5 linked regions of the Mus musculus genome follow. The protein of the gene in region 1 interacts with the protein of each later gene in a pairwise test. Links are inferred from orthologs where the notes say so. Each region holds a gene or a part of one and is shown in the gene's direction. Other genes may lie near its edges.

Region 1 (3,140 bases):
GCGTCAACACATAAATTCGATAAACATTAACCTAAATGTGGCTGTACCTATTACTAATGCCACTCAGCAGATGTGTCCAAGGTTGCACAAGAAGACTCCAGCTACTGCACACAAAGTATTACCTGGTGATGAGGTGCCAGAATGGGCTCCTTAATGACACCAGGCACAGACTGTCAAAGAGTAATGGCTCCTACCTCCTATTCTGAGCTCAATTTAGCACATAAGCATAAGACCTCAGAGTCTATATGGCTTTATCTTCACGCATATCCCTCCTGGTAAAAGAGACCTGCATTGCTGCAGAGAAACCAATGCGCTAGTTCATATTTTCTACTCTCCTGGGCAGAGGGAGACTTGATAAGTGTGGCCATGACCATTGAACATTAAAATAGAAGAAAGTGCTGTGATTTAAATTGAATTTCTAGCCAAAGGGAATGGAATTGAGATTTGGCAGATAATTTAAATTCCCATTAAAATAGCCACTGGAGGTACTGGATATGCCAGTCTGTGAAAACGGCAGTGGATCGTGGAGACTGGCCACTTCCATGTATTTAAACCACATATGTAAAGACATAGACATACAAGTTTTTAAATAGCCTTCAAAGTACTCAAACCTAGCGAAAGTTTGCATATACTCTAATGTAAGAATTTATACCAACCAAGGCATGGAATCCCTTTTGGAAATTGAGATCAGATGTAGGAAATAAACGCTGCCATGTTCATCATAAAAGGATTTGTTCTTTTTACTCAGAATGACGCCTTTCAGTGGTAATATGAATGACATTGTAAGATATGTTTGTTGGATTCATGATAAGTGCCATTTTGTCCAACCCTCTTTATGAATTTGTTCTTGTTCAACCTGGAGTCTATCGTTTTAACTGAACGACATCTCATTACCTACATTCTAAACCATCACGGACAAAGCACAATCTCAAGTGACTGTTTATTCATCTATAGAATTTAATGAAGCAAGCACTCATTTTCTGAATAAACATATTTTCATGGGAAACCATTTTCTATTCAGATGGTGAAATAAAGGAAAACATGCAGGAGTCTTTCCCAGGATGGCCTTTAAAATTCTTTTGATCATAAAAGTTGTAAGATTTTTTTATCTTCTCCTGCAAGCCTCTTGATTTTATATATATATATACCCATTTTACGAAGAGAATAGAATTACTTCTCAGCTAGTTATGTGTAGTTTGCTACTATTCAAAGTAGTTTGCTTCAAATTTCAAAGACAATTCCAAGGAAGAATTCTAAGAAAAATATTTGTGCTCTGGTGACTAGAACTGTACTGAGTCCATAACTTTACAAAGTGTCTGTTTGGGTTGGATAACTTTACCAGGGGCCCTATGAAAACCCAGACACTCTGATTTATGGTTATACTCAATCGATGGAAGGTATTTCAGGGATCATCCGGTTTTATGGGAGGCAGGAGCGCTACTTCCTGGGTATGAGAGAGTTTAGATGCAGCCTCAGACAACAAGGAAGATGAGTCTGCAGACAGAGCAGCCACTCTCTGAGAATATATAAAGGGAGAAGACGAATGAGGGTCAGACTCACACCTGACGTGCTCCCTCCCAGCTGCTCTTAGACCACTACCACTCTCTCAAGTTCACTATGGCTAGCCGTAACAACTGCTCCTCCTCCGGCAACTGCAGCTCTGGATCGCTCAGAAATACCTGCCACATCCCAGCCAGCTCCTCCATTGCCCTCTGCTCTACAAACATGGGCTGTGGAGAGGTCTTCTGCGTCCCCAGCAGCTGTCAAGATCACACCTGGTTCATGGACAACTGCCCAGAGACCTTTGCAGAACCTCTCAGTGGGCAGCCACCCAGCCGTGAAGCCAGCGGCTTTGAAAACTCTTGTTGCTCTTCGACATACTGTGTGCCCAGACACTGCCAAGGATCTGGCTATATTCCTGCGTCTTCCTTCATCTCTGGCTCTTGCCTCCCAGCATCCTACAGGCCTGTGAGCTATGTATCTAGCAGTTGCCGGCCAGTGAGTCCTTTCATGAACAACTGCCGTCCTGTAAGCTGTGTATCTGGTGGATACCGCCCACTCCCTTGTGGATCCAATAGCTGCCGACCTCTGGGCATTGTCACTTATGGATGCAGGCCTTCAGGTTGTGTGACCTATGGCCCTCAGACCATTCACATTGTGTCAAACAGCCTGAGACCTCTGCAGCCTGTCTGCGGTGGTTGCCAACCATCGATCCCTGTGTTTGGCACTTGTCGTCCTTCTTGCTCTGCACAAGGAGGTCAGTAGCTTCCTTGTTCCAGTGAAAAGCAATGAAGACTCAGGATAAAAATTGCAACACTCTGGCTGTTTGCTTCTTTCTGAGTAGCGATTACATTTTCTTGTTCTCACTGTCTATGTTAATGCAAACTGTTCCTTTCACACTGTGACTTGCTTTTATCTTTCCCTTGTTGTAAAAATTCCTGCTTCTATTGCTGCTAGTGTTGCTTAGGCAGGGAACTGTGTACCTGATATGATCTGCACTATAATAAATGAGATAATTCAGAATTAAGAATCTAGTGCGTTGATTTTTCGTTCATGACTTCATTGTAATGCAGGCACGAGCAGCCTCACCTGGTTGCCAGGGGATGTTCTATTGTATTTGCTACCTGATAACCCGGGCAATGGCTTATTATTTAGGAGAATAATGGCTTCAGAACAATATGGGGGAGCAAACTATGACCTTTCTCAAAGTTATGGTCAAAAGGAAAGCTCAACTCTAATCTCTGACCTCTGATTCCTATTGCACACACATCCTCCAGACTATTCTCTAACTGCAAACCCTGCAGTAAGCTTTAGTGTAAGCCTAGGTTGGTCCCTTTGATCTGATCCCATAAGACATAAGTACTTTCTTTGATGCCGCTGCCCTGGCTTCGTCTCTCAATTTATCCCCTTCTACTTAGTATTGCAAGTACTGTATACCCACACCGTTGTCTGACATATGGTGTTCCATAAATGTATCCTTATAAAAATAATCATCACCATTTTATTTATGCCTTTGTCAAGAACACTTTGACCTTCTCCATCTGCTGGAAATATCACAACACAGTTCAAATTCGTTAATTAACCTTAGACGTAAACAAACTAAGAAACGATTGAACACTCACGTATTGTAGAGTCGTGTG
Region 2 (4,471 bases), on another chromosome or scaffold:
TTTGTTCTACCTTTTTATTATTTATTTCAAGCGATTGCGTATGTAAGTCTGGGGGTGCGCTAATGCTATGGTGTGTGTGCAGAAGTCAGAAGTCGTGGTTTCTGGGAGTCATTTCTGTCTTGTGAAACAAAGGAAGCAGGTTTGTTAAGCTTTTACCTGCTCCCCATTTTATTTCCCCTTGAGGCAGTGCTGCGTCTAGGATGTAGCTCAGTTGGTAGCACTTGTAGCTCAGCATGCTCAAGGCCCTAGGTCTAATCCCAGCAGCACAGAAACTAAACACGGCAATCTGCACTTGCAATCGTGGCGCTTGGGAGATGGGGGCAGAAAACTGAGAAGTTCTGTGTCAGCTATCTATCAAGCTGAAGCTCGTCTGGAACACAGGAAACCCTGACTCAGAGGGTGAGCTGCAATGTTGCTGAGTCTGGTTTCCAACTCCTGGGGTTCAGCAGCACCCCTTCCTCAGCCTCCGCAGATGGCTGTGTCTCACTAGAAGCATAAGCAATGGTCTGTTCTGGGGACACCTGTATGAATGTCATGGAACACCTATGCTAACACCATCAGGATGCAGAATGATGCACCAGTCTTACACACTTTCTGGGACTCCAGTGTAAGAAGCCCTCACGGAATTCCACAACCCTGCATGCACTCCTCTCTATGTAAGACTCCCACTGTCCTGAACTGTATGGCTGACCCCCATGGTCTCTATTCACCCACCATAACAATTCCTCGAAGGTGGGGACAGCTGAAACAAGGAAACCCCTTCCATCTCGACAGCCACCAGCCTACTCCACAGGCAGTGCCACACACTTGGCTAATGCCCTTATCTTGAACGTGGCTTTCAACCCTTGCTAGAGGCTGTCTGTAAAGAACAAGATATAAACTACCCAAGGAAAGGATTCACTGTCTTTCCCAATCTAGTTTCAAGTTCCTCTGTCCCACCTTATCAGCCTCTTAAAATTCTTTCAGCTTCAATTTAATGCAGTGCTATCAATATGGATTTAAATCTCTTCTTCCCCCCAGTTTGAGCCAATCTCCTGCCTCCTCCCTACACACATCTACAGTGCCCGGTACTCGCCCTTGAACCTTTATTAGATTTAGTCTAAGCCACTCTCCCCATTCAAACCTGGGGACTATTTATCTTCACCCTCACAACCATCTTCCAACTGGTTTCGAGTCCTTGTCTGCCAGGCGTGAAGAGACAGGAATGTACAAAAGTCCCGATCCAGAAGCAGACACCCTCCAGTAAACGACCTTGAACGCGTGCCCTCAGGGCAGCTCTCCTAACTGTGGGTGCCCTTAGGCATGAGGTGTCTCATCTCTGCAACACTCTGCCGCCAGAACCCAAACCAGCAAGCTCTGCCCTGGGGGAGGCGGGCTATGTTGTCATATGATTCTCTAATCACATGATCCCTAGAAATGGGGTGTGGGGAGAAAGAGGAAAGGGAGGAGGAATGTGAACTGAGTAGAAAAGAAACACAGCATTCCAGGAGAGTCCCGCCTCTACGTAGACAAGTAACCAATGGAAGCCCTGGATCTCCGAGCAATGGCTAATGGAAATTGAGGTGGGCGGGCCATCGTGCGGCCAAGCCCTAGTCCTGGAGCTGACCGCCAGATGCCTCCCAGGGAGCCCGGACCCCGACGCAGGTAGGAGGACCCTCTGCAGACAATCTCCCCGGCTACTGTCCAGAGGTCCAGAGGCCTGACCAGGCTGCCTGTGCAATTGAGGGTCCTCTGGAGTCTCAGCTCAGAGACAAGAGAAGACCTGCCTCTTGAAACTCCCCTAGGGGTTTCTGATGCACTAACGAGGTTGTTTTTTTCTTTTCTTTTTTGGAGGGGTGGGGGCAGTTGTTGTAGAGACACCTCCCCGCACCCCCTCCCCCCCAATAAGAGGCTTCTCTTGCCCAGCATGTCGGAAAGCTGCAGGCCTTTCTCCAGGACAGGAACCACCCCACTCTTGGGCCAGCTCCTCTCTTGTCCGTACTTCCCACCTCTGTCTCCAGGTCCGGCTCTTTCTCTTTCGGACGCTGCAAGTGTTCTCTGCGGCGGCGTGCATTGGGTGGGGATCTCCGGCCCTTGGCCCCCAGAGCTCAAAGGGGTTGCGAGCAGGACCAGGGCGTGATGGCTGAGTCCCTGGGTTGTGTCAGCTTTATTTCCTTTCTTGGGGGGCGAGAGAGCTAATTTCCGCCTCTCCCCGCCACTTTTCCCCCGCTGCCTCTCATCTGGATTGGCTCACCTTTTAGGAAATTCATTTCCCCTCGACACTCAGAGTTGGGGGGTGCCACCTAGTGGAAGATGTCGGAGCTAGGGCTTTGAAAGGCTCCAGTTCTCCCTAGCTGTGTAGTGTAGAGGTGGCCAGGGGCTCACCACTCCCTAGCCCCGTTGAGAGGAACTGGGTCTTCCCTACCCCTTCCTGGTTAGGAGATGGCCTCTGGGATGTTCTTTGAATTAGGTGAAAGGGCACTTGAAAAGACCTAGAGAAGGAAAGAGAAAGATGGCAGATCCTTCTATGTAGCCCAGGCTGGCCTGGGATTCACCTTATAGCCCAAGTTGGCCTGGCACTTGCAACCCTCCTACCTCAGCCTCCCAAATGCTGGGATCAAAAGCATGCCTGCCATGTGTGGGTGGCATTTCCTGTCTTTCATAGCCACCAGTGTCCAGGCAGAGAAGAATTGAGACACAGGGAGCAATTTCTGACATAGAGTGTCACTTCCAGGACTAAAACCCAAGTCTCTGTACCTACTTTTTAAATATTTTATTATTATTATTATTATTATTATTATTATTTTTTTTTTTTTTTTTTTTTTTTGGTTTTTCGAGACAGGGTTTCTCTGTGTAGCCCTGGCTGTCCTGGAACTCACTCTGTAGACCAGGCTGGCCTCAAAACCAGAAATCTGTCTGCCTCTGTCTCCCAAGTGCTGGGATTAAAGGTGTGCACCACCACCGCCCGGCTCCCACCCTGTTTCTATCCTGCTTGGGTCACCTGCCAGAAAAATGCTCTGTCCTGTCCTGTTTGGACCTCTGGCCTCTGGGATTCAGGGTCCTTCTCTGACAATATTCAGGGAGACCAGTTGGCATATGAACCCAGTCCCATATCCCGTCTTTTTTCCCTGACTTGATCCTTAGGCATGGATTTGAAAAGTGAAAGTAATATTATAATTACTGTTTTGCATAGTTGTTGCAGAGAAATACAGTAAGGAGAGGGAGAAAGACTCCCTAGAGGGTCTTTGAATATTGTTGGGTCATTCTGGGTTGCTGGGTAGGCCAGCTGGGCTGGGGAAAGGCTTATTAGGGAAGTGAGAGGCTCGGTTCCTCCTGCTGAGGCAGTGAGGCACTGTGCTGGGTCTTCCCACTTGCAGCTGAGTTTCGGTTTCTGAGGGGGGAGAGACGGAGGCGGTCCGTTTGAGGTGCCCTGGTGATGTCGGGAAGGGCTCACCATGAAGTTAGCTTTAAGGCTGATCCAGTCTCTGTGTCCCCTTCCCTTGGGTGGGGTGGGGGGACAGTTGTGGGTAGGCGGTGGCTGGCCCATAGGGAAGCCAGACCAGACCCCACTGACCACTGCACTTCTGTTTTTACAACTTTCTCCACTGCTCGGTTTCCCATATGATCATGTGACTGATGACTGTCCCTCTCCATCCCCCAAGGCTTTTGAAAGCTACAGGTGGCAGTTCAGTGCCGGCAGTGGGGCTGGCCATCCTCCTGTGTCTGCTGAGGTCTCCTCTGCCTCCCAGTTAGCCCACAGTCCCATAGATAAAGCCACAAAAGCCACATGCCTTCCTGACTGCCATACCCCGTGCCCCCCCCCCCCACTTACCCAGAGTCTCAGCCGTATGTGAGGCCATGAATCCACACGTGTTCATGCCCACAGTGTGTGCCAGCTGACGCATGTGCGCTTGCTGCACACTGGTAGGACGCTGACACAAGCGACACATCTGCTTGCTTTCCTGTTGGCTTGTTGAGAAGACTCAATGAAGCCAGGGCCTTGGTCAGAGCACAGGGGAGTGCGTGGCCTCAGAGTAGAAGGTGGCACAGAGTTTAAGGTGGCTGCCAAACTTTGCTTGGCATTTGTAGGCAGACCATGTGGGTCCTGATGAGCTGGCTGGCCTTCGCGGCAGGGCTGGTAGCCGGAACACAGTGTCCAGATGGGCAGTTCTGCCCTGTTGCCTGCTGCCTTGACCAGGGAGGAGCCAACTACAGCTGCTGTAACCCTCTTCTGGTGAGTGCCTCCTGCCCCAGTTGGCACCCCGGGCCTTTTGAAGGGCTGGCTACCTTGGATTGACCAGAGCAAGGCTGGCACAGACCCTTTGGTTGATGTCATCTCTTCTTTCCAGGACACATGGCCTAGAATAACGAGCCATCATCTAGATGGCTCCTGCCAGACCCATGGCCACTGTCCTGCTGGCTATTCTTGTCTTCTCACTGTGTCTGGGACTTCCAGCTGCTGCCCGTTCTCTAAGGTGACAGTGCCATTGGC
Region 3 (3,804 bases), on another chromosome or scaffold:
CATGGGAGATGAATCTGGAGAGAGATACTTACTGTGGGCCTCACCTGTTCATTCATTGATTCAACAAACACTTGCCTAGCCTCACAGCGTGCCCGGCATCGAGGCTGGCACTCGGGGCCGGCCAAGGAGCCAGAGGAACAAGCACTGGCCCACCGAGGCGCAGTGCCTTCCCCTCCAGCCTCCTGCTTCCCCTCTGTCTGTCCTACTACCCTGTCTGTCCGTTTCTGCTGTGTCGGCCCCATCTATAACCCCACAGTGAGTTTTATATGGAGTCTTAGCTGCCTCCAACCACCCAGCAGGGGTCCATCTCCTGGGGAGTCAGGGGTGCTTATTTCTAAGCAGATAACTCCAGACCATGTTCCTCTAGCATCTTTGTCCGGGGACCTGTGAGGGCTAGTCCTAAGCAAAACCTCACTGTCACTGTCCTCTTTGGCCCCTTCTGGTTTTGCTCAGCCTGTTGTGTTAGTTGGTTTATAGGAGGTCATCAGTGTCCTATCTGCTAAGCTCCTTCCTCCCAAGACTGTCGCATCCAACGAGAGCCAGGGTATAACATATAAAACTGCCTTTCCGGGTCAGGGTGGCTGATAAAGGAGGTGGGAGAGAGGCAGGAGGGCCCTGGCTGGAAATCAGTACACTACCCCTCTCTGGGCCTCAGCTTCCCCATTTGGATCATGGGTCTCTCAGGCCACATGAGGAGAGGCTCTGGGCAGGGTCTCTGCTCCTGGGAGGCTGGGGGAGGACCTGATGCTCACTGGGCCGTCTCTGCAGGTGGCGCCTGGGTGGTATACGGAGTTACAACCCAGAGCAGATCATGCTGAGCGCCGCTGTACGCCGGACCAGCCGGGACGTCAGCATCATGAAAGAAAAACTCATCTTCTCAGGTGACAGCCTGTGCGGGCCCTGGATTAGGTGGCACACATGTAATACATCAGGACAGGTGGATGGCATATCCCTCTTTCCAGGTCCACACCCACGCACGTACCAAGAGACAGAAACACATGTGTGTCCTCATCACACAACCCCAGATCTTGAGGCTTAGTATGAGCCGTGGGTTGGTGAACAAATGTGACAAGCTGGAGTGTGGGGGTGGGTGTTTGTGTGAAGGCCCAAGGCCTTTCCTTGGTTCACACATGACTTCCACAAGTGACAACAGCGTTCTTTTCCGTCCCTGCTGGCATTCCTGGTCTATGAAGGCAGCTGTAAAGACCTGTGCGGAACTGGGTGTCACTGAGGCTCCTCAGAGAAGAACTGAGTCAGAAAGTGTGCTCAGGGCTCCCTGGGGCAGCAAGAAAGGTTTGAGGTGGTGATGTGGCTGGGTGTGAAGGAGACTGGAGGTGCCTGGGTAACGGCTTGATCAGACACTAGGAGGAGTGCTTCTGTGGACACGGGTGTGCCCCAAGGTGCTGCTTGTCTGGGCGTAAAGAACCAAGCAGCATTCCACAGAGCCACCTTCCAGAACCTCGGCTCTGCCCAGTCACCTCCCAACACCAGGACACGGGCGATTGTAGATCGTGAGAGGGCTGGATGAACTGGGCTGGCTTGAAATATGAAGTCCCAGCCCAGCTTGGGGAATCAAGGAGATGTCTAGTAGGCATCCCATACCAGGGATGGGAAGCTTGAGCTAGATTTTAGGAAAAGAGCTGTTGCTGGGGAGAGAAGACACTGGACAGAGAGAAGGCAACGTGTGCAAATGCCCGGAGCAAAGTAAACACTGGGTAACAAGCCCCCGAGGGTGCATTAGGTTTCTGCAACAGGAGTTCCAGGGGGCAGAGGACTAAGGGCCTAGGAGGGACTGAGGAGGCCCCTGAACGCCAGGCTCAGTGCCCACAGGCTCCATGCTGACTGGAACCAGTGATTACATCTGTCTCCGAGTGCCTTCCTTTCCCTCTGCCTGTCCCCCTGTCCTCAGAGCCAATCTTCCTCGCTCACATTCTGTCTCCTCTGGTCAAACAGAGATCAGTGATGGTGTGGAAGTCTCCGATGAGCTCTCCGTATGTTCAGACAGCAGTTACGACACCTATGCTAATGCCAACAGCACAGCCACCCCCGTGGGCCCTCGAAATGCTGGCAGCCGTGCCAAGACCGTCACAGAGCAGAGTGGGCATTAGCTGAAGATCTGTCTGCCCAACTTGTACCCAAGGTAGAACCTAGAAGAGAGGAAGGTCTGATGAAAAGAAGCTGCACCTAGAGGGCCCGGGAGCTGGCTCCTCAGCCTACTTATGTGCTCCAAGCTCCTTTGTCTGTTCCAGTCTCTCTTGCATGAGTGGGGGGGTGACCAAAGGGGCCCTCTCCGCTGAGGCTCAGCTGGACCAGGACTCCAGCCTCTAGATGCCCCTGCAGGCCTGGGGCTTTTCATCCAGGAAGCGAAGGCCTGATCTCCTGGTCCACTCTCATAGTCATCCTTGGCCTCCCAGCCTGGAAGGGTTGGTGAGTCACTGGGCTGTGCCGTGTGCCACAAGCAAGTGGAGGACGTGGATGTCTCCCTATGCCCACACCTCTCTATTTATCTGTCTGTGCTGTGAGATGACTAATGTTCTCACCCCTGCCTTGAGGACGTTGGCTGGGCCTCCCTCTTGGGGGGGGGGGGGTGTTTCTACGCTCTGCACCCATCTCAAAGCACAAGGAAGTTCATCTCAGGAGAAGAAAGCAGTGGCTGTGGTGGAGATGCGTTCCTCCCAACCAGCTCCCTTCTACCACTGACCTCTCTGTCCCTGAGAAGCAGCTGGAGAGGACCGGAATCACAGGCTCAGGGCTGTCCTGCCTCACACCCAACTGTCCAGCAGGCCTCTGGGGCAGAAGAAGCCTTGAGGACCAGGTGAACGACAGACTGATCTGACCTCAGGTTCCCACAGCAGCGGCCACAGGGCAATGGGCCACCTGGGCGAAGCACATTGGGCTCAGTCAAGCATGGGCCTCTGGCCAAAGTTGCCTACAGTAGAAGGAACCCAAGGGCAAAGACAATTAAAGCTGCCATCTTGATGTGTGTTGTCTCTGAATTGTCAGTGGCAGTTTGGGGACCCAGCATGCTGGGGTTGGGATTAGGTGTTGGCCCCGGGTTTTGATGAAGAGCCATTTTGCAGATGAAAGTGAAGACTACTGGATATCTGAGTCCCTCCCTTGATCAGCCATGATGCCAGGACTTCAGCAGCCCCTGAATTGTACACCCAGTGAACACCCTTCAGTTATGTGGAGCAGGATGCTAAAGTGACCATCCAAAGTCACATAGGCAAAGCCAGGGCTACTCTTTGAGAAGCCTACATCCACACCCTTAACTCTTATGCTTAAAAACTGTCTTTGGGGGGAGGGTGGCACATGCTTTTTAAGAACTTACCTTTTTTAATTTTAAAAAGTTTGCATTTGTGTGCATGCATTCATGCCACTTGCATGGGGGCACCCTCAGAGTCTAGAATAGTATGTTGGCTCTCCCGGAGCTGGAGTTGCAAGCAGTGGTGAGCCACTTGATAGAGGTGCTGGGAACTAAACTTGGGTCCTCTAGAATAGCAGCCAGAGCTCTTAACCACTGAGCCATCCCTCCAGCCCCCAAAATGTCTTTCTAAAAAAATAAACTCCAGTGGGCTGGGGAGATGGCTCAGCAGTTAAGAACCAATACCTAGCGCCAGAACACTCACAGCTATCTGTGACTGGCCCTTATTGTACACACGTGGTATAGGTGGAACACTCATCTACATAAAGTCATTTATTTTTTTGAGTCAGGGTCTCTCTATGTAGCCCAGGCTGTCCTGGAATTCATTATGTAGACCAGACTAGCCTTGAACAGAGATCTACCTTTCTCTGTCTCCCTAG
Region 4 (3,804 bases), on another chromosome or scaffold:
TGTCTCAATAGCAGTTTGTGCCACGCGATAAATACTTCATCTAACAACTAACACGATTCCCAGAGCACTGGCCAGTAATCAACAAGGAAATAAATTCTCCTAAAATCAAAGCGGCCCCATACTGATGGAGAAAAATAGAGGGTTTAATGTCCGTGTCCAGGGCTCTTTCAAGATCCAGGGAAGTGGGCTGTGGATGTGGCTTAGCTGGTAGAATGCCTGCTTAGCCCTGGGTCCCATCCCCAGCACCACGTGGACCAGACACAGTGGTGCTCACTTCGAGAACTTGGGGGGGGGGGGAACACAGGAGGATCAGAAGTTCAAGGTCATCTTCCACACATAGTAAGCTTGAGACCAGTATGGGCTACATGAGACTGTGGTAGAATAACGGAAGGGAGTCGAAGAGATGGCACCGTGGTAGAGCCCTTGCTGCTCAGTCATGAGGACCAGCGTTCAGATCCCTGCTCCCAATCTAGGTGGCTCACAAATATCCGTAACTCCAGTTCCAGGGAATCCGTAGGCAGCTGCGTGTGTGTGTGTGTGTGTGTGTGTGTGCGCGCGCGCGTGTGCGTGTGCGTGTTTGTCTTATTAATTTATTTGAAACATGGCCTTACTCTGAAGCTCTGGCTGTCTTGGAACTCACTGTGTAGAGCAAGCTGCCCTTAAATTCACAGTGATCTTCCTGCCTCTGCCTTCTGGGTGCTGGGATTAAAGGCGTGCACCACCACAACCAGCAAAACAAACAAACAAACAAACAAACAAACAAACAATATTTTAAAAAGATTATTTATTTGTTTGTTTGTTTGTTTGTTTTATGTATATAAGTACACTGTAGTTGTCTTCAGACACACCAGAAGAGGCCATGAGATCCCATCACAGATGGTTGTGAGCCAACCATGTGGTTGTTGGGAATTGAACTCGGGACCTCTGGAAGAACAGTCAGCTCTTAACCTCTGAGCCATCTCTGCAGCCCCTAAAATAAATCTTTAAGTTAGTGGGGGGTGGGAGGAGGTGCTAGAAATGGCTCAGCACTTAAGAGCATTTGCTGTTCTTGCACTTGAGTAAAAAGCTTAATGCATTTGTCCCATGCCTATTATCCCAGCCCTGGGGAGTCTGAGACAAGTGGGTCCTTGCTGCTCAGCCCATCTAGCCAATCAGGAAGCAGCAGGTCCAGTAAGCAACCCTTCCTCTATAATATGAAAAGTAGTAGAGGAAGATACTAGTCAACTGTGCCCCGCCTCCTCCCCCACCACACACCACACACTCTGATAACACACATCCACAGAGATACACAGTCACACATGTACACACACACACAGATACACAGTCACACATGTACACACACATACACACACACACACACACACCGACACAGAGACACACACAATCACATATACACACACACAGAGACACACACAGTCGCACATACACACGCACACACACAGACATACAGTCACATATACACACACAGAAATGTACACACACAGTTACAGTCACACACTCACACACATAGTCACACATACTCATACACACACACAATACACCACACAGACACACACAGACATAGCACACAGACACAGACACACACAAATACACACAGAAACACACAGACACACACTCACACACACAAACATATACACAGATACACAGAAACACAGAGTCACAGACACAGACACACACACACACACACACATACACTCATATACACAGACACACACATACACACACACCATACCCCCCCACATACACACCCATAGATACATACACACTCACACACAGAGACATGCACTGGAAACACACAGACACAGACACACACAAGAATGGGTTCTCAGCAAACCAGTGCTAGTTCCCTGGCGGGTCTCCAGGTTGCTGGTGTGAACTTATCTTGGTGTGAACTTATCTTGGTGTGAACAGACTCAGATGAGCTGGCTGTGCCTAGCAAAAGGCCTTTATCATCCGGGGGGGTTCCTGTGCTCATCTATTCAGGGTCTTGGCAGGAAGACAGAAGTTTCTTTGTCTGCTTCAGTCCCAGGTGCCGTGTCTGACAGAGTCAGGACACAGTAAACACAGCAGACTCGCCCAGAAGTGTGCTTTCCTGCTGTGTCCGAGGTGTGAGTCGGGCAGAGGCAGCTCCAGCTCCGCTTCTCTCCCACCTGGTTTCCGCTGTGGCCTCTGCTCACTGTCCATGGGAAGGCTTATCTCTGGCTCTCCCCTCCCCTCTAGGCTCACCCCTGGGGCCAGCCTCATTGAAAGGATCCAGGCCATTGCCCAGAATGTGTCTGACATCGCTGTGAAGGTGGACCAGATCCTGCGCCACAGCCTGATTCTGCATAGCAAGGGTGCGTCACAGCCAGGACATTGCCCTGTGTCCCCAGAGGCCAGTGCCCTGCTGGATAGGTCAGAGCCTCCAGAAGACCCATTTCTCTGGTAATGCTTGCCTAGTTCTTGGGGGCCCTACTTGAGGCTCTCAGTAGGGGGACCTGGTCTACCCCACCCTGGCCTGCTGGAGGTTGGGGAGGACAGAGTGGGCCGATGTGGTTCCTTTTGGTTTGGGAAAAGCTAGAGGCTTCTGCCCCTCTGCCGTTCTCAGGAAAACAAGAGTATATTTTGTGGGGAGCTTGCGGTGTGTCCATCTGGTAGGCCACTCTGTAGCTGTTTTAAGAGCTTGCTCCTCTGAGCCTGGAGGCGGCTGAGCAAGCGAAGTAGGGCTGTGGGGTGGGAGAAACCTCAGGTGAGGGCAACAGGAGGGTGACCACTGCTCTGTCCTAGCACAGGCCTCTTCACCTTGCCCTCTCTCTTTGGCTACCTCCAGGCCCCGGTGTTTCAGTAAGCCATCTTCTGTTTTTGCAGTGTCTGAAGGTCGGAGGGACCAGTGTGAAGCACCCAGTGACCCCAAGTTCCCTGACTGTTCCGGGAAAGTGGAGGTGAGGCCTCGGGGACCCCCCCCCCTGAGGGGAAGGTGCAGGGTGAAGATCAGACAGGTGGGAGGCTTCTCCTCCAGGCTCTGCCCACTCTAGCTCAGCCCTGGATTTCTGTCCCAGCTGGACTCTGTTAACTAGGTACCTAAGCCAGCACAAACTAGTGGTGACCAACCTCAGAGAAATGCTTTCTCCACTGGGCCTACCATGATAATCAGCCCAAAGACCTCTGAGCCTGTCACCTTTAGGAACTTTGTGCACTTAGAGACCCATTCTAACATCTTGGCAAGAAATGGCATGAGTCTAGTCTTGGTCCCCCCTGCCCAGCTCATGGCTTGTTGGACCAAGGACCCCTCCTGATCACCTCCAGGGGTGTTTTTGACTGCATGATGTCGGTGCATGAAGAGAACCGATTCACACCCTTAAAGACAGCTTCTCGAGCTGTCTATGAGCCTTTAAGGGATAGGCTACGGGGCTGCAGACCCCTTCCTTAGAGATCACATGGAGCCCCTGTGGAAAGAACTTCCCTGGCCCTGGCCCCCATAAAGGATGCCTATGACCCCGCCTCTAATTAAGATGAGGAGACAGGGGGCACAAGGGCTGTGGCTGCTGAATTTCCTGGACCTTGTCGTTGGTGCTTGGCCTCTTTACGTCTGCCAAGTCTCAGGTCCGAGGCCCTCCTCTGTGAGGCTCCAGGGAAGCTGACTTACCTCCTTTTCTGGTCCTCAGTTGTCGAGGGCTGGCTGACCTTGGCCCAGCCTCTCTCTCCCAGTTGTATGTCTCTAGCGTTCTGCTGCATCTTTAGGTTGGGGCAGGCCTCACGGCGAGATCTTGGGGACCCTGTGGCTAGGGGAGTCCATGCGGTGGTGTGTGGGTTCCTGGCTGCCTA
Region 5 (3,804 bases), on another chromosome or scaffold:
GGTTTCTCTGTGTAGCCCTGGCTGCCCTGGAACTCACTTTGTAGACCAGGCTGACCTCAAACTCAGAAATCTGCCTGCCTCTGCCTCCCGAGTGCTGGGATTAAAGGCGTGTGCCACCACACCTGGATTTTCTTTACTCTTTAAAGGAAAATTTAAAAAGTTAAAAAGTTAAATTTGCCGGGCAGTAGTGGTGCATGCCTTTAATTCCAACACTTGGGAGGCAGAGGCAAGCGGATTTCTGACTTCACAGACAACTTTTTTGGTCTACAAAGTGAGTTCCAGGACAGCCAAGGATACACAGAGAAACCCTGTCTCAAAAAAAAAAAAAACAAACAAAAAGTTAAATTTATATATGGTTATTGGAGAAAAACATAGGAGGTATAAACTCCCCAGAGAAACTGCAAATAGTATAGTTCCCGTGCAAGAGAGAAGAACTGCCCATCCACTCATTTGTCCACCTACAGGAGGTCTTAGAATCGGGAGGTGGTGATGTTAACAGGGTTTTCAACTAAGCTTAGAAAGTCACTGGATGAGTGAGAGCAGTAAAAAAAGGAGGAGGGTCCTCGGTCCACGGGATCACATCCTCGGGTAAGGAAGAGGGGAACTGGATATGAGCATCACATGCCAGTGGGACACCAATTGCAGCCTTAGAGAAGCTTTTCCCTGCTTGGACAGTTTGTGCTTACCCTGCCCCCAAGCTCTCCATGGAGGCCACACCCACTGCGGGCATCCCCACTGCAGCAGCAAACTGCGCTCTGGAAGGAGACTGGCCCTGACCAGAAAGAGCGGTCTCTGCGTTCTCCCTGTTGTGTATATATCCAATTACCCTCTCATCTCCACCCAGCTGTCAGGGCTGTTGCTGGGTCCCTAATAAGACAGATCCCAGGGCACCCAGAGATTCATTTCGCTTTGCCCCAGCATCCTTGCATTTAGAATAGGAGTGTCTGCCGAGCAGCCTAGGGTGGGTGCTTCTAATCTTTCCAGAGAGGCTGGTAAGTAATGGGGTCCGAGAGTCAATGGCCACAGCCATGAGGCATCTGTGCCCCTCCCAACAGGGTCCCTCAGCAGCTGCTCTGCACCCTATGAGGCTGCATGGAGATCACAGGTGACCAGGTCCAGGCTGACCCTCAAGTGGCTCAATTAGGGCAGGCTTGCCCAAGACAGTGACTTGGAAGTGAAGGATACATCAAGCTTGGCTGAGTGAAGAAGGGATGGAGAAGGGTTTTCTGGGCTACAGAGCTCTGCAGACAAGGCCAGGAGACGTAGTGCTTTCAAAGACCTGCCAATGATAGTATCATGGTTTGAATATGCTTGGCCCAGGGAGTGGTGCTATTAGGAGGTGTGGCCTTGCTGGAGTAGGCGTGTCACTGTGGGTGTGGGCTTTAATACCGTAGTCCTCGATGCCTAGAAGTGAGTCTACCACTAGCAGCCTTCAGATGAAGATGTAGAACTCTCAGCTCTGCCTACACCATGCCTGCCTAGATGCTGCCATGCTCCCACCTTGATGAAAATAGACTGAACCTCTGAGCCTGTAAGCCAGCCCCAATTAAATGTTGTCCTTTATAAGTGTTGCCTTGGTCATGGTGTCTGCTCACAGCAGTAACACCCTAGCTAAGACAGATGGGATCCACTACCAGATGTGAAGTGGTATCCTGAGAAAGCAGTGCCTAGTCTGGAGGCCTCCACCCTGCAGAGCCTCACCAAGTGGGCCTACCATGTCCCCCAATAGCTTCTAGTCTTGACCCTTAGGGCTAGAGAAGCCCCTGTTTATGGCTATTGAGGGTATAACCCAAGGTCTAAAGCCTGTATTTTTAACTGTTTTTCAGAATCCCTTCATATGTGGTCAGGCTCCAGGTGTCCACCGCTGCACCTCTCAATGATTTCTTTAGGGCTCTCTTCCTTTCCCTCTTGCCTCCCCCCAGTTTGCCAGTCTTTTTTTGAAATCACCTTCCAAGCAAACTTGTTTCCAAGGCAACTCAAACTAAAACTGGCATGGTTAGAATAGGAGGTCCATGGAAGACAGTGGCGAGCTGTGGACAGCCTCTTCCACACCTAGCAAGATGGGGTCAGACTTGCAAAGCTGTATGGCTCTGCCTGGACTGGTGATGGCCAGACAGAGAATGTGGGAACCTGAAAGCTGCCCCTGACTGCTCTCCAGTGCCTTGGATGTTCTAGGCGTCTATCTGAGCATTCGTCTGCATTTTCTCTGCGTTTTCTCCGTGGACACAAACAAAAGCCTCATTAAGCCATCAGTTTCCCCTGCAATTTGGAGCCACAGAAAGATTGAGACATCTCATCACAGTGATATAGCAGGACATGATGGCTTGAGGATTCCAGATCCAAATACAACCTTTTATTCCCGGGCAGTCCCTCTTACCCTTCCTTCCTGTCTGTATTGTCAACACCATCCGGACATCATAGGTGAGATTTTGCTATCCTGGGTTCAGTTACTCTAGTAAGTTGTGCTTCTGCCTCCCCGTAGGTAAGTTTGAAGACAGGGAAGACCGCGTGCCTAAATTGGAGCAGATAAACAATACAAGGATCCTGAGCAGCCAAAACTTCTCCCTCACCAAGAAGGAGCTGCTGACCACAGAACTTCTGCTCCTGGAGGCTTTCAGCTGGGACCTTTGCCTGCCCACGCCCGCCCACTTTCTGGACTACTACCTCTTGGCCTCCATCAGCCAGAAGGACCACCACTGCCACGCCTGGCCCACCACCTGCCTCCGAAAGACCAAAGAGTGCCTCAAGGAGTATGCTCACTACTTCCTAGAAGTTACCCTGCAAGGTGAGAGCATAGAGCCAGGGGGCTGAAGGCATGGGAGGCTGGGATGGGTGCCATCTAGAGAGGGCCTTCTTTCATGCCTCAAACCCCCATGCCCGTATCTTTGCAAAGAAATGCAGGATATATTCAGTGCTATAGCAGCATAATGCAGAAACAAAATAGCAGCTTACCCAAACATCACCAGTACCTAGAGACCAGCAACTCACCTGGGAAGTTTTCATATGGGAACCTTTAAATCACACCAACTCACAAGTAGATCATTCCCAAGGGGCTGTCATTGCACAGATTAAATAGGATGGGGCAGGTGACAGTGTTCACATCTGCATTGGCAGTAGTAAGTTGGTGTGTCTGGAGTGCTGGGAAGACAGCCCAGGCTATAATGTGCTTGCTGTGAACGTGTGAGGAGCTCTGTAGTCAGGCATTAGAATGCACAGAGAAAGCCAGACGTAGTGACAGACACACCTGCAATCCAAGAGATAGGGAGGCAGAGACAGAAGAATCTCAGGTGCTTGCTAGCTAGTGAGCAGCATGATCAATAAGGCCCAGGTTCCAGTGTGAGACCCTCTCTCAAAAAGCAAGATATAAGCTGAGCGTGGTGGCGCACACCTTTAATCCCAGCACTTGGAGGCAGAGGCAGGTGGATTTCTGAGTTCGAGGCCAGCCTGGTCTACAAAGTGAGTTCCAGGACAGCCAGAGCAATACAGAGAAACCCTGTCTCAAAAAACCAAAAAAAAAAAAAAAAAAAAAAAGCAAGATAGATGGCTGCCAAGGAGCAACACTTGCAGTGTCTATCTGTCTGTCTCTTTCTGTGTCTCTGTATTTCTGAGTGTGTGTGTGCGTGTGTGTGTGTATGTATGTGTATTTTCTCATGGACTCAAACAAAAGCCTCATTAAGCCAACAGTTCCCCTTGCAATTTGGAGCCACAGAGAGACTGAGGCATCTCATCATAATGACATAGAAGAAAGTGATGGCTTCTGTACACACACACACACACACACACACCAGAAGAGAGTGATAGGCC

Evidence for each region.
Region 2: the proteins of Krtap26-1 (region 1) and Grn interact in binary tests that used the Homo sapiens proteins (3 or more experiments, as listed by UniProt). The two-hybrid records come from large-scale screens. The link is inferred for Mus musculus from reciprocal best matches to the Homo sapiens genes KRTAP26-1 and GRN.
Region 3: the proteins of Krtap26-1 (region 1) and Gdpd5 interact in a two-hybrid assay, tested with the Homo sapiens proteins (2 studies listed by BioGRID and IntAct). The two-hybrid records come from large-scale screens. The link is inferred for Mus musculus from reciprocal best matches to the Homo sapiens genes KRTAP26-1 and GDPD5.
Region 4: the proteins of Krtap26-1 (region 1) and Mgat5b interact in a two-hybrid assay, tested with the Homo sapiens proteins (3 studies listed by BioGRID and IntAct). The two-hybrid records come from large-scale screens. The link is inferred for Mus musculus from reciprocal best matches to the Homo sapiens genes KRTAP26-1 and MGAT5B.
Region 5: the proteins of Krtap26-1 (region 1) and Ccnjl interact in binary tests that used the Homo sapiens proteins (3 or more experiments, as listed by UniProt). The two-hybrid records come from large-scale screens. The link is inferred for Mus musculus from reciprocal best matches to the Homo sapiens genes KRTAP26-1 and CCNJL.

What each region holds. Positions count from the first base shown.
Region 1 is NC_000082.6:88,646,209-88,649,348, reverse strand, and holds Krtap26-1 (keratin-associated protein 26-1), read left to right. Parts: upstream 1-1,552; 5' UTR 1,553-1,617; coding exon 1,618-2,265; 3' UTR 2,266-2,525; downstream 2,526-3,140. UniProt on the Homo sapiens protein: In the hair cortex, hair keratin intermediate filaments are embedded in an interfilamentous matrix, consisting of hair keratin-associated proteins (KRTAP), which are essential for the formation of a rigid and resistant hair shaft through their extensive disulfide bond cross-linking with abundant cysteine residues of hair keratins.
Region 2 is NC_000077.6:102,428,897-102,433,367, forward strand, and holds the start of Grn (progranulin precursor), read left to right. Parts: upstream 1-1,610; 5' UTR 1,611-1,644; intron 1,645-4,068; 5' UTR 4,069-4,075; coding exon 4,076-4,213; intron 4,214-4,328; coding exon 4,329-4,454; intron 4,455-4,471. UniProt on the Homo sapiens protein: Secreted protein that acts as a key regulator of lysosomal function and as a growth factor involved in inflammation, wound healing and cell proliferation. Regulates protein trafficking to lysosomes, and also the activity of lysosomal enzymes.
Region 3 is NC_000073.6:99,458,006-99,461,809, forward strand, and holds part of Gdpd5 (glycerophosphodiester phosphodiesterase domain-containing protein 5), read left to right. Parts: intron 1-768; coding exon 769-881; intron 882-1,953; coding exon 1,954-2,108; 3' UTR 2,109-3,804. UniProt on the Homo sapiens protein: Glycerophosphodiester phosphodiesterase that promotes neurite formation and drives spinal motor neuron differentiation.
Region 4 is NC_000077.6:116,942,645-116,946,448, forward strand, and holds part of Mgat5b (alpha-1,6-mannosylglycoprotein 6-beta-N-acetylglucosaminyltransferase B), read left to right. Parts: intron 1-2,220; coding exon 2,221-2,336; intron 2,337-2,847; coding exon 2,848-2,921; intron 2,922-3,804. UniProt on the Homo sapiens protein: Glycosyltransferase that acts on alpha-linked mannose of N-glycans and O-mannosyl glycans.
Region 5 is NC_000077.6:43,577,202-43,581,005, forward strand, and holds part of Ccnjl (cyclin-J-like protein), read left to right. Parts: intron 1-2,482; coding exon 2,483-2,785; intron 2,786-3,804.